6 linked regions of the Rattus norvegicus genome follow. The protein of the gene in region 5 interacts with the protein of the main gene of each other region in a pairwise test. Links are inferred from orthologs where the notes say so. Each region holds a gene or a part of one and is shown on either strand. Other genes may lie near its edges. The genes, in order: Kifc3, Skil, Ndn, Usp2, Nefl and Tex11.

Evidence for each region.
Region 1: the proteins of Nefl (region 5) and Kifc3 interact in binary tests that used the Homo sapiens proteins (3 or more experiments, as listed by UniProt). The two-hybrid records come from large-scale screens. The link is inferred for Rattus norvegicus from reciprocal best matches to the Homo sapiens genes NEFL and KIFC3.
Region 2: the proteins of Nefl (region 5) and Skil interact in binary tests that used the Homo sapiens proteins (3 or more experiments, as listed by UniProt). The link is inferred for Rattus norvegicus from reciprocal best matches to the Homo sapiens genes NEFL and SKIL.
Region 3: the proteins of Nefl (region 5) and Ndn interact in binary tests that used the Homo sapiens proteins (3 or more experiments, as listed by UniProt). The link is inferred for Rattus norvegicus from reciprocal best matches to the Homo sapiens genes NEFL and NDN.
Region 4: the proteins of Nefl (region 5) and Usp2 interact in binary tests that used the Homo sapiens proteins (3 or more experiments, as listed by UniProt). The two-hybrid records come from large-scale screens. The link is inferred for Rattus norvegicus from reciprocal best matches to the Homo sapiens genes NEFL and USP2.
Region 6: the proteins of Nefl (region 5) and Tex11 interact in a two-hybrid assay, tested with the Homo sapiens proteins (2 studies listed by BioGRID and IntAct). The two-hybrid records come from large-scale screens. The link is inferred for Rattus norvegicus from reciprocal best matches to the Homo sapiens genes NEFL and TEX11.

What each region holds. Positions count from the first base shown.
Region 1 is NC_086037.1:9,907,659-9,911,158, reverse strand, and holds part of Kifc3 (kinesin-like protein KIFC3), read right to left. Parts: exon of another isoform or gene 3,014-3,500; coding exon 2,832-3,013; intron 1-2,831. UniProt on the Homo sapiens protein: Minus-end microtubule-dependent motor protein. Involved in apically targeted transport. Required for zonula adherens maintenance.
Region 2 is NC_086020.1:114,200,773-114,204,867, reverse strand, and holds the start of Skil (ski-like protein), read left to right. Parts: upstream 1-1,295; 5' UTR 1,296-1,343; intron 1,344-2,896; 5' UTR 2,897-3,570; coding exon 3,571-4,095. UniProt on the Homo sapiens protein: May have regulatory role in cell division or differentiation in response to extracellular signals.
Region 3 is NC_086019.1:125,259,920-125,263,158, forward strand, and holds Ndn (necdin), read left to right. Parts: upstream 1-1,139; 5' UTR 1,140-1,206; coding exon 1,207-2,184; 3' UTR 2,185-2,739; downstream 2,740-3,239. UniProt on the Homo sapiens protein: Growth suppressor that facilitates the entry of the cell into cell cycle arrest.
Region 4 is NC_086026.1:53,327,870-53,331,369, reverse strand, and holds part of Usp2 (ubiquitin carboxyl-terminal hydrolase 2), read right to left. Parts: intron 3,148-3,500; exon of another isoform or gene 3,050-3,147; coding exon of another isoform or gene 3,029-3,049; intron 1,103-3,028; coding exon 1,052-1,102; intron 233-1,051; coding exon 109-232; intron 1-108. UniProt on the Homo sapiens protein: Hydrolase that deubiquitinates polyubiquitinated target proteins such as MDM2, MDM4 and CCND1. Isoform 1 and isoform 4 possess both ubiquitin-specific peptidase and isopeptidase activities.
Region 5 is NC_086033.1:46,476,049-46,480,129, reverse strand, and holds the start of Nefl (neurofilament light polypeptide), read right to left. Parts: upstream 2,801-4,081; 5' UTR 2,736-2,800; coding exon 1,689-2,735; intron 758-1,688; coding exon 633-757; intron 250-632; coding exon 1-249. UniProt on the Homo sapiens protein: Neurofilaments usually contain three intermediate filament proteins: NEFL, NEFM, and NEFH which are involved in the maintenance of neuronal caliber.
Region 6 is NC_086039.1:69,999,045-70,002,544, forward strand, and holds part of Tex11 (testis-expressed protein 11), read right to left. Parts: intron 3,337-3,500; coding exon 3,187-3,336; intron 1,733-3,186; coding exon 1,624-1,732; intron 468-1,623; coding exon 347-467; intron 1-346. UniProt on the Homo sapiens protein: Regulator of crossing-over during meiosis. Involved in initiation and/or maintenance of chromosome synapsis and formation of crossovers.

The sequences.
Region 1 (3,500 bases), on a different chromosome or scaffold from region 5:
AACGGCGTTTTCTGAAGAGATTTTGAAAGGATGCCAAACAGACCAGTCTTGGACAGGAAAAACGAAGGTGGAAGTCTGTACCTTGACTTCAGGGCCACAGCAATCAGAGCAGTGCGGCTCAGGCAGAAAGGCAGCCATGAGGATAACAGGGAAGCCGTGGGGGGGGGGGGGGCAGAGTGACCCTCACATATGTGTCCTAATGATTTTTCAGTGTGCAAAGACCATGCAATGGCAAAGAATAATACTGACAACTGGTGTTTGAACTGTGTCTCCACATGTCAAGTAATGAAGCTGGGCCCTCACCCACACCGCCGAGTAACACGCAGAGAGAAGAGCAAATGGACTGAAGACCCAAGCACAAGGGATCAATGGTAAAACTCTTAGAGAGAAAAACGTCGTGACACTGAATTTGGCAGTGGATTTTTTTGATATGGCCCCTAAAGCACAAACAGTTAAAAAGACAAAAAGTTAAGTGCTCTTTACAAAAATTAACTTCTGTATTCTTCAACTCAAAAAAAAAAAAAAAAAAAAAACAAAGGTATAGGGGTGGGAGACATGATGTAGAAATTAAAAGCACTGGCTGCTCTTTCAAAAGATTTGGGTTTGATTCCTAGCAACCACATTGTGGCGTGCGTGCGTGTGTGTGTGTGTGGGGGGGTATGTGTATTGTGTGTATGGTGTGTCTATTGTGTGTTGTGTGTATGGTGTGTCTATTGTGGTGTGTGTATGTGTGTGTGTGTGTGTGGTGTGGTGTGTGTGTGTGTATGTGTGGTGTGTGTATTGTGTGGTGTGTATGTATGTGGTGTATATGTGGTATGTCTAGTGTGTATGGTGTGTCTATTGTATGGTGTGTGTGTGTGTGCGCGTGTGGTATGTCTAGTGTGTGTGGTGTGTGTGGTGTGTCTATTGTGTGTGGTGTGTGGTGTTTGTATGTGTATTGTGTGTATGGTGTGTGTATTGTGTGTATGGTATGTGTGTGTGTGTGTCTGTGTCTGTGTGTGTCTGTACTCCAGTCCTGAGGGATCTGATGCCCTCTTCTGGCCTCTGCAGATATAACGTGCAGTGGCACAGACATGCGCAGGCAACACACACACACACATAAATAATAAAAGTAAAAAATGACACATAAGAAAATAGCATCACGGGCTGGAGAGATGGCTCAGTGGTTAAGAGCACTGACTGCTCTTCCAGAGGTCCTGAGTTCAAATCCCAACAACCACATGGTGGCTCACAACCATCTGTAATGGGATCTGATGCCCTCTTCTGGTATGTCTGAAGACAGCTACAGTGTATCCATATACATTAAATAAATAACTCTTTAAAAAAAAAAAAAAAGAAATAGCATCACAGGTAGAGAGCTTCATCTATCACCCCTGAACCCAAAGCCATCGAGCGAGTGAAGACAACACCGAGTGTGAAGGAAGTGCTCACCAGTTACTGAGAATGAAGGGTTACCATCCAGAAAACACCTACAACTCAACCACATCAAACTGCCTGGGCTAAAACAATGAAGACCCTGGCCATGTGGCGCACACCTTTAATCCCAGCACTGGAAGGCAGAGGTAGGTCTCTAGGAGTCTGAAAGCTTGAGGCTAGCCTGGTCTACACAGGGAGTTCCAGGACAACCAGAGCCACACGGTGAGGTCCTGTCTTTTAAAAAATGAAGGGGGAAAAAAAAAGCAAGGAAAAGAGAGCCACGTCTCAACATTAAATAAACAAGAACAAAGAACGAAGCCCTACACTATTCTGTAATCCCAATTCTGGGCATACACACCAAAGAACTGAAAGCAGGAACTTCGGTGTTGGTAGCAGTATTACTCACCGTGCCCAGAAGGTGGCTACTATCGACTGTGACGTTCATGGTGACAGCAAGATAGACAGGTCTAGTTAGTGAGTTCCAAGACACACTAGGCTAGATCGGGGAGCTTATCTCAGAAAAACCAACAGCCGACAAACAAAACAACAAAACCCACAGTGAGGTCCAGCGACAGCCCCCTACAGGACACCACACTTTATAGTTCATAACCATCTTCCTGTCCACTCTTACAGCCAGCCCATCTGATAGTCATCAGCCTGGTTAGAAATCAGAAAATGGGGCTCACAGGACTGACAACATTCCCTACAGCCTCACAGCCAAGACAGCCTCAGACAGCTATTTCCAGAGTTCCAGAGCCACATCTGCCCCGACAGGTGCTAGCACATCTGGATCCTGTTATCTGTCTGCAGATGAGGAAAAGAGGCGCAGACTGGTAGTTATCTAGCCCAGGACTAGTAAGTGCTCCCAGACAGTCAGGGTTTACTCACAGCTCCAGGCCCAGGAGGCTGGCCATGTCTCCACAGGGTTGGACCCTACAGAGCACAGCTAATGGGTACAGAGCTACAGGGATCATCCCTTAAGAACACTGTAATAAACACATAGTCAAAAAGCTCACCAAAAAACCCCAAGCAGAGGCTAGGTACCGGTTTGAATCCGTAAGTCATCTGAGGCCTGAGGCGTCAGGTAGGTTGGGCGTCCTCCTTACAGGTGATGAGCGAGTGGGGCTAGGGAGACCAGAGAGTCTGGGCAGTTCACTTTCAACTCCCCCCCTTAATAAGCAAGTAGATTTAATCAATTAGAGAGGAAAACCTTTTGGCTGGGAAGATACTGAGGTGCTAAAGGCCCTTGTTGCAGTAAGAAGCCAAGTTTGAACCTCCTCGCCCTGCAGCATCTTCCTAGACCAGGAAAGGGTCACCATCTGGCTTCTGGTGGAGTCTAGGTACCCTGACAATGTCCTCTGACCTGCTCCAGAGGGCAGTGAGTGGCCTCTGCTCATCCCTGCCTCCCCAGGTACCTGGTTCTGCAGCTGGGTGGTTGTGGCTTGCCGGTCACTGTCATGGAGGGCCAGCCTCTCCCGAAGGACTACCAGCTCCTCCTGAAGCTGGGACATGGCCTCCACGGTCCTATGTACCACGGGGTCTGGGCCTGGTGACCCGGACAGGCTTGAGCACCTCCCGATGCCAAGGAGCCGCCCACCTACAAGCAAAGTAGTGGCTGATCAGCAGGACAGTGGAGGTCTGCCTGGAGGAGGAAGGCAGCCATCACAACAAGCGCACCATTGGGGCTAGGGTGAGGACTGAAGAATACAGCAAAATGGGTTTGCAGAGGACCTCCGGGTTGTCCTCTGGGGAAGTCACTTTAGCAAAAGTTTCTAGAGGACAGAACTGACTAAACCAAGACTTAAGAAAATAATTTTTCCTGAGTCCCCTCAAAGTAGGAAATTTGGCCTGCACTCAGGCGATTTCCTGGGAAAGAATAGAGGCTTACTCAGAAGTGGCTCTCCATGCTCATTCTCGATCTCTCAAAAGCACAGCAGAGGGCTGGAGAGATGGCTCAGTGGTTAAGAGCACCCGACTGCTCTTCCAGAGGTCCTGAGTTCAATTCCCAGCAACCACATGGTGGCTCACAACCATCTGTAAAGAGATCCAATGCCCTCTTCTGGTGTATCTGAAGACAGCTACAG
Region 2 (4,095 bases), on a different chromosome or scaffold from region 5:
AGTTGAATATTCGAGCTATCCTGGGTACGTTGGCTAGGAAGTCCCCTCATCCACCCCCGCCGGCGGTTCGAGGTGGCAGCCGAAAGTGGTTATCTTCCCCCACCTCTTACCGTCTCTGGAAAAAAAAAAAGAAAAAGAAAAAAGAAAAAAAAAAAAAAAAAAGGAAAAGCCCGAAAACCCCAACCAAAGTGCTTAGTGAATTAGAACCGGTCACTTTATGGAGGACGAGAGCAGCTGGGGCAGCAAGGTCTGCCCCGGCGGTGCTGAAACCTCCGCCTCCCGGGCGATGGCGGCCCGGGAGGCGACCGGGTGAGGCCACCCCAGCGCGGCCAGGCGGGGCTGATCGCCAGCAGCTGGCAGGGCGGCCGCGGCGGGAGGCCCCACGGGGGCGAGAGGCCCCGCGACGTCTGCGCGCCGGCGGGGGGGGGGAGAGCTGGGGGAGGGAGCGCGGGGGGAGCACGGGGGCAGGTGGCAGCGCTGAACGGGGAGGGTGGCAGCGCGGGGGCGTCTGCGCGGCGGGCTCAGCCCGGGGGTCGCGGCGGGGAGCCACCCGCAGGCTACCTCCGGGGCGGGGCCAGGCGGCCAGCTGCGGCCGCGGGGGTGGGGGGCTGTTGGCCGAGTCTGACCTCGGGCGCGGCCAGCTGCCGGGGTCGCGCACAGTGCAGCCCGCCGCGCCCTACCCCCTCTCCGCCTTCTCACCCCCGCCTTGCCGCGCGGCGGCCCAGCGGCCAGGGCGCCCCCAGGTCTGGCCCGTCACCACACGGCGGCGGGCGTGGCGGGGGCGGCCCCAGACAGCCGGCTGGGCGACTCGAGGAAGGAAGGAGGGCGGCGGGGGTGGGGCCGAGGGAACATCCTGTCTGCGCCGGGCACCGCAGACAGTGCCGTGCGCCAGCCGCCCAGACGGCGCGCCGGGCCAGCCAGCAGCGCGGGGCACGCGCGGGAGGGGGCGGGGGAGCGGGAGACCGGCGCACGCGCGTGCGCGGCGGAGGCACCAGGCGCGCGCCCCGGCCAGGGCCGGAGAGGCGCGCGCAGCCTGAAGCGCGCAGACCGCGAGGAGCCACAATAGGGCAGACGGCGCGCGCGCTCGAGGGACTGGCTGGCGCGGGGCCGCGCGGCGCCGCTGGCTTAGTTCCCTCCCCTCCCCCGCCCGCCGCCCTCGCTGTCCCCCGGGCGGCCGGAGACGGCGGCGGCGTCTGCGGGAAGCCGTGTCTCCGCAGTGACGTGGGCGGGCCGCGGGCCGGGTGACGTCAGAGGCTGTGTGTAGCGATGTGTGTGGGGTTCGGAGCGGCGCCGGCACAGCGAAGGCGGCGGGCGAGCGACGGCGACGGCGACGGCGGGCACAGGTGCGGCCGCAGGTCGCGAGGGGACGTGAGGGGCGTGCGGCCTCTGGGGGCGCTGAGGCGGCGGCGGGGGGGTTATGGGGAGGCCACAGAGCCCGTGGGGCTGTCCGGGCGCCGAGGGCCTGAGTGGGGCGTCCGGGATGCGTGGGGTCCCGGGCGGGGTCGAGGGCACAGGGCGCGCGGCGGGGGTCCCACGGGTGTACAGGCCTCGCAGATTCTAGGACGGGTCGGCTGGGAGGGGATGGCGGTGCACTTGACCCGAGCCGCCGGGACCCGGGAGACCTGGACACCGGTCATCGCCGCCATCCCCCGGCCGTCTGCGCTCGGCGGGGATGCCTCGGGCTGGCCCCATCTCTGAGCGTCCAGCGACGCAGGCTTCCGGGCTTGGCGCCCAACCTGCCTGCGCCCCTCTGGGTGTTACGGCTCAGGGTGGGTCAGTGGTGGGGAGGCGCAGCCCTGGGGCGCAGAGGTAACCCCAGAGAACTTCCCGCGGACCGAGTGCGTGGGGGATTTCCACCGGCGGCCCCCGCAGTGGGGCGATGTGGGGAGGGCACTTAGGGTGATCCCGGTCACAGAGGTGGGGGTTGGGAGGACTCCTACTTCCTCTGCCCCCTCTCACCTCACCAGACGTCGGGAGTCCTCTGCTTCCCGGTCCTTCGGGTTGATGATGAGTGGGTGTCTCTGCGTGTGCGCAGGGCTGCGGGGGCGCCCCTGGTCTAGGTCATGCCTCCTGCCCTTTTCCTTGGCTCGCCTTGGCTGAGGTGTCCCTGTAGTGGCGAAAGTCACAGTACGGTGGCTAGGTGGCTTTCGTCCGTAATTCTCTGGGTTTGTGTTAACATAAATTGCTGGGAGTTTAGAAGCAAAGGTTTTTATTTATCGGCTTTTATTGGGTTTTCTCCAGGGAGGGAAGTGGATGAATACTCTTTTTCGCCACTCTGCCTCCATTTGCATTCTTTGTGAGGTCTGTCTGCCTTGTGCTTTTTGTCCCGGATTAGTCTTGCTAAAGGATGGAGATTTCCAGGCATGGAGTCTTACAGCTTTTGGCTTCCATTAAGCAAATTCGCTAACCTTTTAAAGGGAAAGTTTTTCTTCTTCTTCAATTTAAAAAGATAGTATATATTGACTAGATGAATTAATCTGCTTGAGACTTAATTACATATGGTAGGTATATTAACATGTATCTTTTGCGGGGTGGGGGGAGAGCAGAAACTACAGGGTTCTTTTTTCTGAAGAGAAAGGATTACTTTTTAAAATTTAAATGGCATGCATAGTTGAGAAAGCCTCTGCTACTGCGTTTTGGTTATCCGTATTCTAAATTTGTGTACTCTTCCTTGTTTGGAGAGATATTATTTAATGCTCCTGTTACCCACGGTCTGGACTGCTTCCTATTTAGATGAAGTTTCTTTTAGATAACTGGTGTTAGGTTGGAAGAAACCACCCAAGTGTTACCTTTGGCAAAGTGAACTGAGTTTAAGATTAAGAAACTGGTTTTAAACAGACCCTTTGGCCTCTGGAGCTAATTCAAATGTAACTCTCCCCACCCCTTTCTCTTCCAGATCAATTAAAAGAAGAATGAACTGTAATCCCTGAAGATAAACTGGGCAGCTTTTTTACTTAGTGTATGTATATTGCTAATTATAAAAGTTCAGGTGGAGCCAGGCTCCTGCTGTGTGGAGATTTAGACAAGTCTTCAGTTTGTCAGCACAGAGCCACAGACCACCATTTTCAGTGAGGATACCTGCCTCTTCTTTTTTGGTGTTCTTGGCAAAAACTAAAACCATTGCATCATTGTAACTCGTGTTTGGGTGTAGTTTCAGGATACAGTCATGGCATAAACTTTCCACATGCTTTGCTTAAAGAACAAAACCAACCAAACTCAACCACTATACCAAACTTTGGACTTCTTGAACTGAGGAATTAGCTTTATTTTAACATAAATAGCTGAAGTGCTCAAGAAAACAAGACTTTTCTCAGGGGTGTGCTGACAATTATACCCTTTGTTATTAGAAGCGAATTGAGAAGTTTTGTAGTATTTTCAGTTACATCCTGAGAAACGGCTGAACCGAAACAGAGTTGTACAATCTATTGAGCAAGAAAATTCATCTTTGGAAACTAAACATTTCTAAGTGAGTCACAAGTATTTGTATACGTTGCCTTTTTCTCTTCAAATTAGGAACTGAGAACAACATGCCAATTGAAGACTTAATTATTTAAAAACACCGGTGTGGCCATGGAAAACCTGCAGTCTAATTTCTCCTTAGTTCAGGGTTCAAATAAAAAGCTGAGCGGGATGGAGGATGATGGCAGTCCTCCCGTGAAAAAAATGATGACAGACATTCATGCCAATGGGAAAACGCTGACCCAGGTGAAGAAGGAGCATTTGGACGACTACGGAGATGCGTCAGTGGAACCAGATGGCGAGCACGCCAAGCGCAACTGTCCTTCTCTACCTGAAACTTTAAATTTAAACCCCAGTCTGAAACACACACTGGCACAATTCCATTTAAGTAGTCAGAGCTCTTTGGGTGGACCAGCAGCTTTTTCTGCTCGATATTCCCAAGAAAGCATGTCACCGACTGTGTTCCTGCCTCTTCCGTCTCCTCAGGTTCTTCCTGGTCCTCTTCTTATTCCTTCTGATAGCTCCACAGAGCTCACTCAGACTGTTTTGGAAGGGGAGTCTATTTCTTGTTTTCAAGTCGGAGGAGAAAAGAGACTGTGTTTGCCCCAAGTCTTAAATTCTGTTCTCCGAGAATTT
Region 3 (3,239 bases), on a different chromosome or scaffold from region 5:
GTTCAGGTTACCTCCTCTCAATCTACATTTTTTATTTATGAACACCAATATGCTGCCTCTCATTTATGAAAGAATGTTAGATATTATCCAAAAGAATTGCATTTGAAAGATATTGGGAAAGATTTGGACGTGCGCCCAACATGGAATTAGTCATTTGCTAATGACGTAATGCAAGACGTGGAAGATTTCTTATAAACATGAAGATGTAACAGCAGTAAGCAGGGGGAAAGGGCACTGGGAGTGCATGAAAAATACACTATCATAAAATGTGTATTAATAAACATGTTGATCATTTCCCACTAGATTCTTAAGGGAATTTCTAAATGAAATCAAAGTGACCTAATAGAAATGCAGAGCCCAAATCCATAGTTATTAAAATAATTGTAAGCCAACAAACTAAGAATCCAACGATGAATGAATACATATAAATAATTTTATATATCTGTTTTGTTCATGTGGGACCTGGGGTTTAAACTCAGGTTCATGCTTGAACTGCAACAGCTCTTGCCCACTGAACCAAGTCCCATTTTAATTAAAATTTTAGACGCACATCAATTATGTTATATGAATCTACTTCTAAAACATTAAATTCTCACATGGATTGATTTCCAGTGTCTGTAACTATACTTTGCATTCTTCCTTGTTTGATACTGCTCAGATTTGTAACGATTTATCTCTATTAATAATTTCTCAACATTCTGATATTAGACAACACATCATCATCATCATCATCATCATCATCAGGTATGACTTTCCAAGAAAAGGTTATTTTTGTCTCTCCTATTCTTTTGTGGAAAACTCAAATTCAAGAATTAGTCTTCTTCCTCCAGGACCTTCACACTTAACTCAGTGTGTCGGAACTTAACTTCACCATCTCAGCTATATCTTTCTCCTTCAACTTGTTTCTTTCCCCACTATCACCCATCTCTGTCCCATACAGGAGACCAGGAGATCCTTTTCATAATACTAGTGGTACCCTCCCTTAGACCCCAGTGGTTGGGCTTTGCTACTTCGCTCCTATCCAGCCCTACCACCCTTCTGGCTTCCCACTACGCATGCGCAATATAGCGTCTGCCCCGCCCGGCCCGCTGCTGCGGAAGGCGCAGTGCTCAGTAAAGCGCACTTCCTCTGCTAGTATCCACTGAGGCAGTGCAGGCTCCGAGAGCTCCGAGTCGCAGCGGTCCTGCTCTGATCAAAAGACGCAGAATGTCGGAACAAAGTAAGGACCTGAGCGACCCTAACTTTGCCGCTGAGGACCCCGACACTGAGATGCAGGTCAGCGATGCTGTTCCGGTGGGGGTCCCTCCTCCCGCTCCTCTGGCCGCGAACCTCTCAGGGCCATCGTGCGCTCCGGAAGGCCCTATGGCAGCCCCACAGGCCTCGCCACCACCTGCAGAACGGTTTGAAGAGGTTGACCCTAAGATCCTGCAGCAGGCCGCAGAAGAGGGCCGCGCCCACCAGCCCCAGAGCCCAGCCCGGCCGATCCCAGCACCGCCGGCCCCTGCCCAGCTGGTGCAGAAGGCGCACGAGCTCATGTGGTACGTGTTGGTCAAGGACCAGAAGAGGATGGTCCTCTGGTTTCCAGACATGGTGAAAGAGGTCATGGGCAGCTACAAGAAGTGGTGCAGAAGCATCCTCAGGCGCACCAGCGTCATCCTCGCCAGAGTTTTCGGGCTGCACCTGAGGCTGACCAATCTCCACACCATGGAGTTCGCCCTGGTCAAAGCACTCAGCCCAGAAGAGCTGGACAGAGTCGCGCTGAACAACCGTATGCCCATGACAGGTCTCCTGCTCATGATCCTGAGTCTCATCTATGTGAAGGGCCGCGGGGCCAGAGAGGGTGCGGTCTGGAATGTGCTGCGCATCCTGGGGCTGAGGCCCTGGAAGAAGCACTCCACCTTCGGAGATGTGAGAAAGATTATCACCGAGGAGTTCGTCCAGCAGAATTACCTGAAGTACCAGCGTGTGCCCCACATCGAGCCTCCCGAGTACGAGTTCTTCTGGGGCCCCAGAGCTAACCGTGAAATCACCAAGATGCAGATCATGGAGTTCCTGGCCAGAGTCTTTAAGAAGGATCCCCAGGCTTGGCCTTCCCGCTACAGAGAGGCTCTGGAGCAGGCCAGAGCTCTGCGGGAGGCTAATCTTGTCGCCCAGGCCCCCCGCAGCAGTGTCTCTGAGGACTAAAATGTCCAGGAGCACATTGATAGTTTCTGACCCATACTAGGGCTGTGTAAGGGTGGGGTTGGACATTAGAGTATCCCAGATTCATAGTGCAGTATTTCATGTATAGTTTTTAAGTTTTCCATCCAGTGCTTTTTTTATCTTGTAATGCAATGTATTCAGTTGTGTACTCGTGTAGTGTTTAAAATTGATGCATGTGTGTTTTATAAGTGAGCAAGTTGGTACTTTCACTTCTGTGCTTTCTTGGATTTTTGTACAAGAGATGTGCTGTGCTAAACTTGTGAAATACATTGAGGTGTTCTGTATCTTGTTCTTTGAATGGGACTGATGGTCCGTATCGACAAAGAAGGCCCTGGAGAGTTAGCAGGACTTAACAACAACACAGACCTGACCAAGAGAAAGGTCAGGGTCCCTCTCCATATGACTCCAACTGGCACAGGAAACATCCATGTGGAATGGACTGATTTGAACTGGACTGTTTTCAGTTTAAGCACTTAGCACACTTTGCAAAACATGTATCCAACCCCACCATAAATAAACTTTAAAATGAGCATTAAATATACCGTGAAATAATTTCTTTGTTTGGGGGGGAGGCATTTATTTTGGTGAAAGGGGGAATGGGAGTGGGTAGGGATGAGAAAGATTCTCCCCGTGTACAACATGAGCAAGTATACTTCTAACAGAGTGGGAAAACACCACTCATAACCACTCAGAAGTTTTTTGAAAATTGTGGTGCTTCAAGAAATTGGTCACATTAAAGGCGTGATAACAAAAAAAGGCATGTTCACATAACGTGGGAATAATAACAGGAATTATGTAGGGACTGTCCCTTTTCTGTTTTGTTTTGTTTTGTTTTTTTGTTTTAAATAGTCTTTGGTGGGCACTTTAACAGAATGAAATATTGCTACTAAACCCTCGTTGTGCATTTTCTTCTTTATTTTATCCTCCCACCAGCCATAAGAAGTAAGGAATGACTGTATCAGCACAAAGCAAGAAAAATGAAAGGATGCTGGTAATGAAATACCCTAAAAATCATAGACCTTATACTGGAGTCTTGA
Region 4 (3,500 bases), on a different chromosome or scaffold from region 5:
AATGGAGGGGTGGGGGTGGGGTGTCTACCACACAACATCAGTCCAGCCTGGTGGACCAGGAAGAGCTGAGAAGGGCAGCAGGATCCACGCCCATACGGGGCTCCTCACCTTCCATGAGAGCTGTGTGTGCACTGCTGGTATGGCCGAGGTCCCGCATGTACAGCCTCTGGAGGCAGTAATCTCTCAACTCGCGGGTGTTGCTCAGACACTGAAGAATTGAGTTCATGAAGCACTAAGAGAGATCATCCGGCAATAAGTGCGCGTGCACGGGTCTGGGTTTTTCCTAAGCTGTGTATTCCCAACTAATGGCACTATTGGGATGTGGTGGCAACTTGGAAGAGATGGGGCCCAGTGGGAGGCTTTCAGGTATCGGGGGCTTGCCCTGAAGAAGCCTGAAGGACCCCACTCTCTTCCTTTCCCTTGTATCCTGGCCACAAAATGGTTTTGCTTTGCTATACATGTGCTGTCTGCCTTGTCACAAGCCCAACCATACAAACTCAGTCTTCTTTAGGTGTGCTTCTCTCGTGTATCTATCGTAGGGGAAGCTGACTAACAACACTGTGATGGGGTACAGACCCTCACACAGCACCTCTATTACCTGCATCTAAAGGTTCTCTGTTTCTTCTACCCAAAAATGAACTCACTCACAGCTCCGGGTTCCTCCTTCCTGAGTGAAGGCAGGGCAGAGTGAGGCAAGGCCCCAGTATGTGGCAAGGCCATGTAATTGGCTATTTCCTATTAAGGTGTACAAAGGGGTGTGGGCACACACACTGGTCAGCAGTGGGGAGGGAGTGATGGGAACCAGGAGGAAGGTCCAGGAGAGCAGCAAGCTCGCAGTGACAAGGGCAACTTCCTTTTAGCTGTGCTTCCTGCTGGGGGCGGGTGAGACAGAGTCCTGCTATTCACTGAAACACCAGCCAGGAAGGGCAGGTGCTGACTGCCCTCTAGGATAGGAAGCTACCTTGTGGAGTCAGGGAGGCCTCTACTAGATTATCCCAGTCAGGAGAGGAGGGGAGGGCTTCAGGAAAGAGCTGAGTTGGGAAGAACTTACCGTGTTCCCAAGGTTTCGAAGACCAGCCAGACCCTGGGCACTCTTTGAATTCTGTAAGCAAAAAACAAGTCACATGAAGGTGAGGGTACAGCCCTGGGTCTGTACAGTTCTCACCCAGACTTTTCTTTCAGCCTCGGTCTGGGCCTTGGAGAAAAAAAGCATGGAGGAGTGCCTATTTTCAACACACAAACTTTTCTTCGGGGCTTTGCGGTTTTTATGTATTTCCCCATCTTTTTGTTGTTTTGAGAGAGGGTCTCACTAGGTAGCCTAGTGAACGTGTGGCAATCCTCCTGCCTCTGCCTCCTGAGTGCTGGGGTTACAGGTATGAGCTACTACACCTGGTTTCTTTATATTTTCTACTACACTGGAGACTAAAGATTAGAACTAGAGGCTAGGGGCTCATAATTTCAGGAATACAGTCAAGTCCTTGTTGAAAGAAAGTCCAGGTCAGACATGGTGATGAAGGTCTGCAATCCCAGCACCTGGGAAGCAGAGTCAGGACAATTAGGAATTCAAAGCCAGCCTCAGCTACATCATACATAGTGAACCCAAAGGCTAGCCTCAGCTATATGAAAAAAACAGGGGTTGGGGATTTAGCTCAGTGGTAGAGCGCTTGCCTAGGAAGCGCAAGGCCCTGGGTTCGGTCCCCAGCTCCGGAAAAAAAAGAACCAAAAAAAAAAAAAAAAAAAAGAAAGAAAGAAAAAAACAAAGAGGTTTCATAGCTCAAATCCAGGTACTATTTCAAATGACCTACATTTATACCAGATGTTCAATATATAAAGGAACCACCATGATTTGCACTTTAAGAAGTTTAAATGACAAATCACTGAGTTTCCATCTTCAGCTGGGGAAAACTCAAGCTGCCTGCCACTCTCACTTGCCAGAGACAGGTGGAATTCTTTGCAGCTGAACTCAGCCTCTAAGGGCTGAGCCCAGGCGGGAGGGAGGATCCTCCCTGCCTGTCTCAGGTTTCAACATCCCGGACTAGCCACTGGCACCAAGCTGAGGAAGCACCTGGCTGAAGGTGCCACTCTTGTCTCTACTGTGGAGGCTGGTGAGGGGGTTGGAGAGAGAACAGGTGTGAGACTGCAGGCACTCAGTGTTATTTGTCAAGGTCTCTTAGGTAATCCTGGGCACACCTCCTGAGAATCAGAAAACCTTCAGGCTCAAAGGGTTAAAGAAGCAGTAGCTGAGTTTGTGGTGAGTCTGCCACCCCCTCTTGGAAAGGGGGCCTCGGAACAGGCAACTCTGGAGCAACACTGGCTGGGGCATGCGTGGGGCCGGCTCAACCCTGATCAGAACAGGAGCCTGAAATAACTCAGCTAAAATTACTCATGCCATGTGCTGACAGCCTATGAGGCTGTCAGCGGCTCAAAGCTCAGGAGACTGTCAGCTTGAAGGGAGGTGGGGAGAAGCAGGCCGAGGGAGGGCTTTTCTCAAGCAGAGCCAGGCCCCTCCCACAAGTAATAGGATCCCTCTCTTGGTCAGTTGTCAGCTCAGACTCTAGCAGGTAGAGAAAAGGTACCCAGAAGAGACATACTTTAAACCTTTCGCTGGAGGGAAAGCCCGGGGCAGCATACAGGGTGTAACATCCTCCACTGCCCTGGCCTGCAGTGCTAACCTGACTTGGCCCCCAAATAAACTGTGAGTCCCACCACTGGGTGTCCTAGTTCGGCAGTAGACGGCTTGGCTAGCATTTGTAAGGTCTTGGGTCTGACCCCTGGCAATGGCAAAACAGCAAAATGCTGACACCTGTGATGGGCCCTATAAGTGGGCTACCACAGAGATAGTCCCTGGGGTCAAAGACCTTATCAGAGATTTGGATGAAATGTTAAAAGTCTCCCTTTTCCCCAGAGCCCAGCAAGAAAGCACCACAGCAATCTTCTTCATGTTGCCCGCTTGGAGGCACCCATCGAGGTGTGCCCACACACGATGCCCACTCACACCTGGTTTCGGTAGCTCTTTACTAATCCTTACCCCCTGTGCCCGAGACGACATCGGTCTAAACAGGCTGTAGAGACAGAAAGCATCCTACCACCGGTGAGCATGTCCACATCCACCAAGGCGGGCTCTCAACTCAGGTACTTATCCCAGCACTAGTGAGGGTGGGGAAAGGGAGGGGTCACCAGTCCACAGAGGCACTCCTGCTTCCAGGTGGGAAGTGTATTCACCCTCCATGGTTAGTACTCTAGTCCCAACGCTTCTATTGGCTTGAGGGCAGAAAGGTGAGCCCCCCCCCCCCAAACACCATTAGGACCCTCTGCTTTGTGTGTGTGTGTGTGTGTGTGTGTGTGTGTGTGTGTGTGTGTGTGAGGAGTCATGTTCTTATCTTAAATTTCCTCAGCTCCAAAACACTTGGCAATTTCTTCCTTCCTTTCTTAGACATGGGGTCTCACCATACATCCCTGGCTAGCCTCAAAGTCACTATGTAGACCAGATGCCCTACCTC
Region 5 (4,081 bases):
TCAGAGGGGGGCTCATCCTTGGCCTCCTCAGCTTTCGTAGCCTCAATGGTCTCCTCCACCTCTGACTGCTCTTCCTGGACGTGGCTGGTATAGTAGGCTGGGAATGCTCGAGCAGACATCAAGTAGGAGCTGCTCTGCAAGCCACTGTAAGCAGAACGGCCAAAGACCTGCGAGCTCTGAGAGTAGCCGCTGGTTATGCTACCCACGCTGGTGAAACTGAGCCTGGTTTCTTCGCCTTCCAAGAGTTTCCTGGTGGGGAAGGGAATGAAGGGTACAGTTAGACCAACAATGGATGTGTTCATGACTTGCTCTAAGCACACATTCATTATTTTTCCCCACAACCAAGGTCAAAGGCAAATACAAGGACAAACAGGGTTAGGTACCATCAAGATTTAATAAGGAGCTCATGATAGAGCCCGCCCAGAAAGACCTACTAGATTTAAAATATGAATGCTAAGAACAAGACTTATGTTACATCGGGGTTAACTCCTTGCACATTTGTACCGTCTTGGAGGAACACCAAAGCAGGACTAATCTAAAACACTGTGATTCAATATAACTCTGCACTGACTCTGGGTCATCTGCTCCGCCCTGAGCTGCCATGCCCACTGCCCAAACCATTCTGATGTTACCTGTAAGCTGCAATCTCAATGTCCAATGCCATCTTGACATTGAGGAGGTCCTGGTACTCCTTCAGGTACCTGGCCATCTCGCTCTTCGTGCTTCGCAGCTCATTCTCCAGTTTGTTGATTGTGTCCTGTTGGAAGATCGTTTTCAAAATTCAAAACACAAATCTCTACTGCATTTGTTTTACTGTAGTATTCGTGCTAAGTCCTGGCACTTAGTAACTACAAAGTGTACACCTACAAGAAATAGGGGGGGTGGCCTAAAATGTTCAGTCTAGTGATGTAAGAGAAGAGGAAGAAGAGGAGGGGAGTAGACTGATATGAGCAATTTTGAAAATTGTCCTCAATCTATTGATTATGGTAAACTGTCTTTTAAAACTACCCAATTTATAATTATTATTATTATTATTATTATTACTATTATTATTAGTCATACTTCTTTTAGCCAGGTCACATTTGGGGAGGGGAATGTGTGTGTGTGTGTGTGCATGTGAATATATGTTTGTCTAAATAAATATATAAATAAAAATAAAATTGTATATTTGTCTAAAATGCTTTCCACAACTCTATTTCTTCTCCCCCAAATATGAAGAACTTATTTTTTTAAATGGATATCAGTGATTAATTGATATAAAATATTGTGACTGTATTCTTGTGTCCCTGTTAAAAACAAAACTATCCCAAGGCTGGGTGAGAGAGAGCTAGCCGCCATATTTATTAGCCAGGAGATCCAGGAAGTCCTGAGGGTAACTTGGAGTCAATTAAGGGTTGTCAGTAGAGAGTAGGCATTAGACTGGTGGCAACGCCCAACTTCAACGCCCTCCGCCCATTCCTCCCAACTCACCCCTAAGAACACTGATTCAACCAGAACAAGCAATTCCCAAGCAGCAGTCGCGCCCCGCCCCCTCCAAATGCCCCATCTTTTCCACATCTCTGAAGCCAATCCCTAGGATAGCTGCTCTGTGCTCTAGGACCCCCTAGCGTTCACTCTCTGGATATACCTTGCACCCCCACCCCGAGTGTGGACCTCCCCGCTCCCACTGAGCTTAAACCCTGCCAAACCTGCATGGCGCTGATGTCTGCATTCTGCTTGTCCTCCAGCTCCTGCAGCTGCTTCTCTAGAGCTTCGTTCATACCCCGGCAGGCTTCGATCTCCAGGGTCTTAGCCTTAAGTAGGCGGCGGCTTTCCGACACCTCGTCCTTGGCAGCGCGCACTGCGTCGGTGTTCTTGGCGGCGCTCTCGGTTAGCACCGTGAAGCGGCTCTTGAACCACTCTTCGGCATTCTGCATATTCTTGGCGGCCAGCTTCTCGTACTGAGCGCGGATGTCCTTGAGAGCGGCGGAGAGGTCGGGCTTGGAGGACACGTCCATCTCCACGGAGATCTGAGCATACTGGATCTGAGCCTGCAGCTCGGCGATCTCTTCCTCGTGCACCTTTTTCAGGAAGGCTATCTCGTCCATCAGGCTGTCGATGCGCTTCTCCAGCTCGGCGCGGGCGAGCGCAGCCTCATCCGCGCCTTTGCGGGCTTCCATCAGCCGGCCCTCGGCGTCCTCGCGGCTCAGCACCTCCTCCTCGTAGCGAGCCTGCAGGTTGCGCAGAGTCTCCTCCAGCCCCTCGCGCTCGCCCTGCAGCGCCTGCTTCTCGTTAGTGGCGTCTTCGGCCGCCAGTCGCAGATCACGGATCTCCTGCTCATACAGGGCGCGGAAGCGGGAAGGCTCTGAGTGCTTCTGGCGCAGCACCAACAGCTCGGCTTCCAGGACCTTGTTCTGCTGCTCCAGCTCGTGCACGCGCTCGATGAAGCTGGCGAAGCGATCGTTGAGGTCCTGCAGCTGTGCCTTCTCCTGTGTGCGGATAGACTTGAGGTCGTTGCTGATGGCGGCTACCTGGCTCAGATCGAGGTTCTCCAGGCTGGGCATCAAAGAGCCGGAGCTGGATGAGTAGCTGCGGCGCACCGACAGAGAGGAGGAGACGGGCGCGGAGTAGCTGGAGTACGCAGAGCGCGCCGTGCTGTAGCCGCTGCGCACGCTGGAGATGTGCACCCGGGGCGTCTCCACGTAGCGCCGCTTGTAGGAGGTCGAAAAGTACGGCTCGTAGCTGAACGAACTCATGGTGGCGGTCGGTGCGCCCCTCAGGCCCGGGGCGGAGATAGGGGACCTAGAGAGAAGAACCGGGGAGAAGAGGGAAAGGGAAGGATGGATGGCTGTGTGCGGCTCTGGGCTGTCCTGCCACCTCTATTTATACGCCGGGACTCTGACGCAGACTGTGATCGATCGCGTTGCGCAGGCCAGTGGGGGCAGCGTGCTGCTGCAGCCAAGGGGAGGATTCTGCGCAAGAGCAAAGGCGGGGGCGAGCGACAGGAGGCTAGCGGACTGCGGCTCCCGCCTGGCCGCTTTTCTCTGAGGCCCCCTACTTTCTCTGAAACCCCCATAACTTCCCTGCTCATTCCTTTCCTACTCCCCCGACCCATCCTGCCTGTCAATACCTAAAACCCGCCTCACTAGGACCCTTAAAATTTCCAAATAATAGGTCCCTACTGACACATCAACTTTTAACATCTAATGTCACAAAGACACCCTCACCCTACCCCAGTCCGCCCCTGGCTCGCCCTTTCTGCCTCAGGGACCCTCTCAAGCACCGTGATTCTTATTTAAGGAGCATGGTTGTAAGGCCAGGGTGGTTAGGTTACTGACAATAGTTTAAGGTTTCGCCCTTGCGACATTCCTGCAGGAAAAGTTTTGCATGCCTTTGTAGCTATTTTCTGACATTTTCTTGAATTCACCCCCCTTTCTCCTGCCTTCTTTTATTTTTTCTTTTTTATTTCTTTCCGTATAATCTGCTTCTCAATACATAGGGGACGGGTACCGCTACACACACCCTTGGAACCGCAGGATAGCGGGTGTTCATTTTGACATTTTAAAACCTTTACAGCAGCTAATTTGTCTGGCGCCTTCCATAGAATTTCCCCTTTCTTTATGGGAAATGAAGTCTGGAATGCTTAGGACGGGTTGAAACTAACCAGGCAAAGATTTGCAAGGCAAAAGATGCGCTCTGCTGCGGGAGAACTTCAGGGTGCCTGTATGCTACCTCCACCGCATCGAAAGCCTCTTCCCCTTTTTAACACCTGTGTGGTAGCCTAATCTGATGGTTTTGACAAGCCATGTAGGTTGGATGGAGAGAGAGGGAGGGAAGGAGAGAGGGAGGAAGGGAGTGAGGGAGTGAGGGAGGGAGAGAGAGAGAGAGAGAGAGAGAGAGAGAGAGAGAGAATGCTGCAAAGTGCTACCAGCTCTGGGTGTGGTCTTCCGGAAGAGAACTCAGCGTGGAGCCTGCTGAAACAGCCTGCTGAAATTCACAGGTAACGGGTGCCCTTAGGAAGCTACCAACTTCCTTCAGGATACCCAGGTAGCAGAGTGGGTACGAAAACGCACATGGGTGGAACGTTTTCATACTGCCGTTG
Region 6 (3,500 bases), on a different chromosome or scaffold from region 5:
CCTCTGAGATATGGTGGGAATAATAATAAGCCTTTTCACAAAATTAATATAATCATAATGGAAAGAATTATATTAGGTTCCAAAAATATAAAACAATTCAAGATGCTTACTGGTCTTGTTTTTCTGACACAAACCTTAGTTAGTAAGCTTATACTAGAAAATTCTTACCATTAACTATTTATATTTTATAACTCGGAGATACTTTGAAGTGGATATCTACATTGTAATACAAATTTATCATAAAACTCCTATCAGAAAATATCATTCTATATGAAAACAAATATGCAAGACACTCTGGTTCCTTCCAATAGTCTGCAACTTTACTATTGCCTGCTCTTTGACTTACGGTTTGGCGAATGAGACTCAGAGCACTTTTTAAATGGCCCCAAACTTCTTTTAGGGGATACAGTGCCATATTCCATCTTCTATCTGACACCAGAAGGTCAATCAAGTTGTGCATGCATACACTGAAAAGTAAAAAGAGACCAGTCATCTGTAAGGAAAGAAATTACTGGCCTGGTTAAGAGAAGTCAACTCTGAATCTCATCTCACACTGAGAGCTCTTCCTCTGCTCTGTCTTTCATTTTGATCTTGGAACCTTAGAAGACAGAATTTTAAAGATGCAAAAGGGGCTGATTAGTCCTTCCTTTGATGTTTGTGGTTGGTTGTCATTTTAGACAAGTTTATATCCCTCATGAAGGAATTGTTCATTGTTTTTATTTGTGTGTGTGCACCACACACACACACACACACACACACACACACACACACACACACACACACACATACACACGCTTGAACAGAGGTCAGGGGACAACCCTCCAGAGTTGGTTCTCTCCTTCCGCTACGTGGGTCCTTGAGATTGAACTCAGATCATTAGATTTGGCAGCAGGGACCTTCATCTGCTGAACCATTTTGCCAGTTCAATCATGTCATTTTCATATTTTATGAGCTGATTCAATTTATGGGCATTTAAACAATAATGCTACCTCTTCAAAGGGACAAAGGAATTAAAATTGGATTTAAATTGACAAAAAAAATCTTACTTCTCAGAACAGAAAGACTACAATGAGTTTTTCCTGAAAGAGCAAAACCATATAACATTATTGATACTTAAAAGTACTAGGGGAGGGGTTGGGGATTTAGCTTAGTGGTAGAGCGCTTGCCTAGCAAGCACAAGGCCCTGGGTTCAGTCCTCAGCTCCGAAAAAAGAAAAAAAAGTACTAGGGAAAAAACAGAAGAAAAATATAGGAAAAATGTTTAAGTTGAGTGGTAGCTACCAATTTATGATCATGTGGGATACTTAGTAAATGACATGAAGGAAGGAGTACATAGTACTATTTTATTATATGACTAGAACAATAAAGGAAAGCAGGATGTACCCTTCTTTTTCTCTCCTGGGAACAGAAGTCTTGCTTACTATTCTCCAGTGTGCAATATAATTTTCACTACAGAGAACTTTACAGGATAATTTTCCTATAATCTTCTATGTTAGCTCAGTTGATTATAGTGGGTGACTAATGGGATATTGACTAGAGGGGTTTTTGTTGTTGATTTTGTTTTGTTTTTGTGTTTTTTGGCTTCCACAAAACTTAATTTAGGTGTCAACTTATATTTACTAACCTGTATCTCAAAACATTAATTGGCACTTTCCTTCTATAGATCAATAAAAGTTTTTTCAAGGCCTTCTGTGCAATAGTAGGATAGTGTGCAGGTTTATCCATAGCTAGTGCTGTAAGAAGAGAAGGAAAAAGCTTCTGAATGCCACGTTATCTTATTCATTACAGTTTTCAAGCAGGACTAGAACATGCATTCTCTAATGGAATAAAAAGATTCTCTCTCTCTCTCTCTCTCTCTCTCTCTCTCTCTCTCTCACACACACACACACACACACACACACACACACACACACACCAAATTTGATAAAATCATGACTCTATAGAAGCTTTGAGAGAGCCTCTCATTTCTTTCAGGTTCCATTCATTCTTCAACAATGAGTGACGGAAAATCTACTGTTTCTGTAACCATGCACAGTCTTACAGGTGATGCAACTATATTATGAACCACAGTGAAGGAAAGGCAAGCTAAGAAATAGAAGCAGATCAATAAAAAGCTGCTAATCAAAGCCAGACAACAATCTGCCATATACTTGTTTTCTTGTTGCTGCTTCTTCCTGATGTGAAAAATAGGCTTTGGTATTGCTGCCTTAGAGAGTCTAGACGTGTCTAGGCCTTCCAGATGCGGTCAAGAAGCCTATAGAGCAGTCCCACTATATAAGGAGTGGTAGTCATAGAGTATGCCTCATTGGTCCAGTTCTAAGAAACCCAAGGCAATTGTAGTATACTGGAGGCTCCCTAATACCTTCACTACCCATGCTCAAGCTCTTAAGGAAAGTTACAGGCAAAGGGGAAGATAATCAGGGTATTTCCAGCAGTAAATTCCCTAAATGGCTTTGAGGCTCATAAGTCCTATAGCATAGCTTAAAGATTTTGAAAATTGCACCGTGTTAAAATATTTCCAAATTTCTAGGGGCTAGTGAGGTGGCTCAGTGTATAAAAAGGTACTTGCTACCTAGCCTGATGACCAGATTTCAATCCCTGGGGCCTATATGCTGCAAAGAGAACTGCCTTCTGTAAGTTTTCAGCTAACCTTCACACATGTAAACACACACACACAACCATACACACACACACACACACACACACACACACACACACACAGAGAGAGAGAAAGAGAGAGAGAGAGAGAAATTCATAAACTTTCCAAATTTCTCCATACATTTTAGTAAATTACTAAGGCTGAGTCATCTTTGATCATCAATGTAGCTATTTATCATTTTTAGCTACCTACATAAAACTAACTTTCCAAAGTTTGAGCTTCCCCTATCATGCCATTACGTAATTAAATTCTACATATAGACTTCATTTGAGCACCTATTATGAGCAATGCTCTTCACTAAGATTTATTAGTATAACACATAAAAGTAATTATTGCTCATGATCCTGAGATTACAATCTTGTAGAGTGAAAAAGATAACTATATAAATGATTTTAATTCAAAGTAGTTTAAGAATGCATCAGAGAGTGAGAAACAATATACTATGAAAATCATCTCAAGGTCAGAAGAGAGAAAACAGTAGGATCTAAATGGGCACTGGCCTTGCACAGGTATAAATAGAGCACTTACATGCCATTATTTCAAGTGTTCTGCTTTCTAAACCAGGCATCTTCCAAACTGATTGCAGAAAGCTGTGCAGGGATGGATCATTGGTTTTGGTTTTAACTTCAAATTCATACAGCAGAAGCATTACCCCACAGTCATCACCTGAGAAATCTCCTAAAGGAAAGGGAAAGTTTAACATTTTCTGTTACTGCAACACTAATCCTCTCTCCTATCCTATCCTAACTGGACAAGTTTTCCCATAAGGAAAAATTGATTTCACTTAGTTTGAAGGCCATCCTAGTCTCCATTGATAAACTTTCAACATTTTAATATCTATA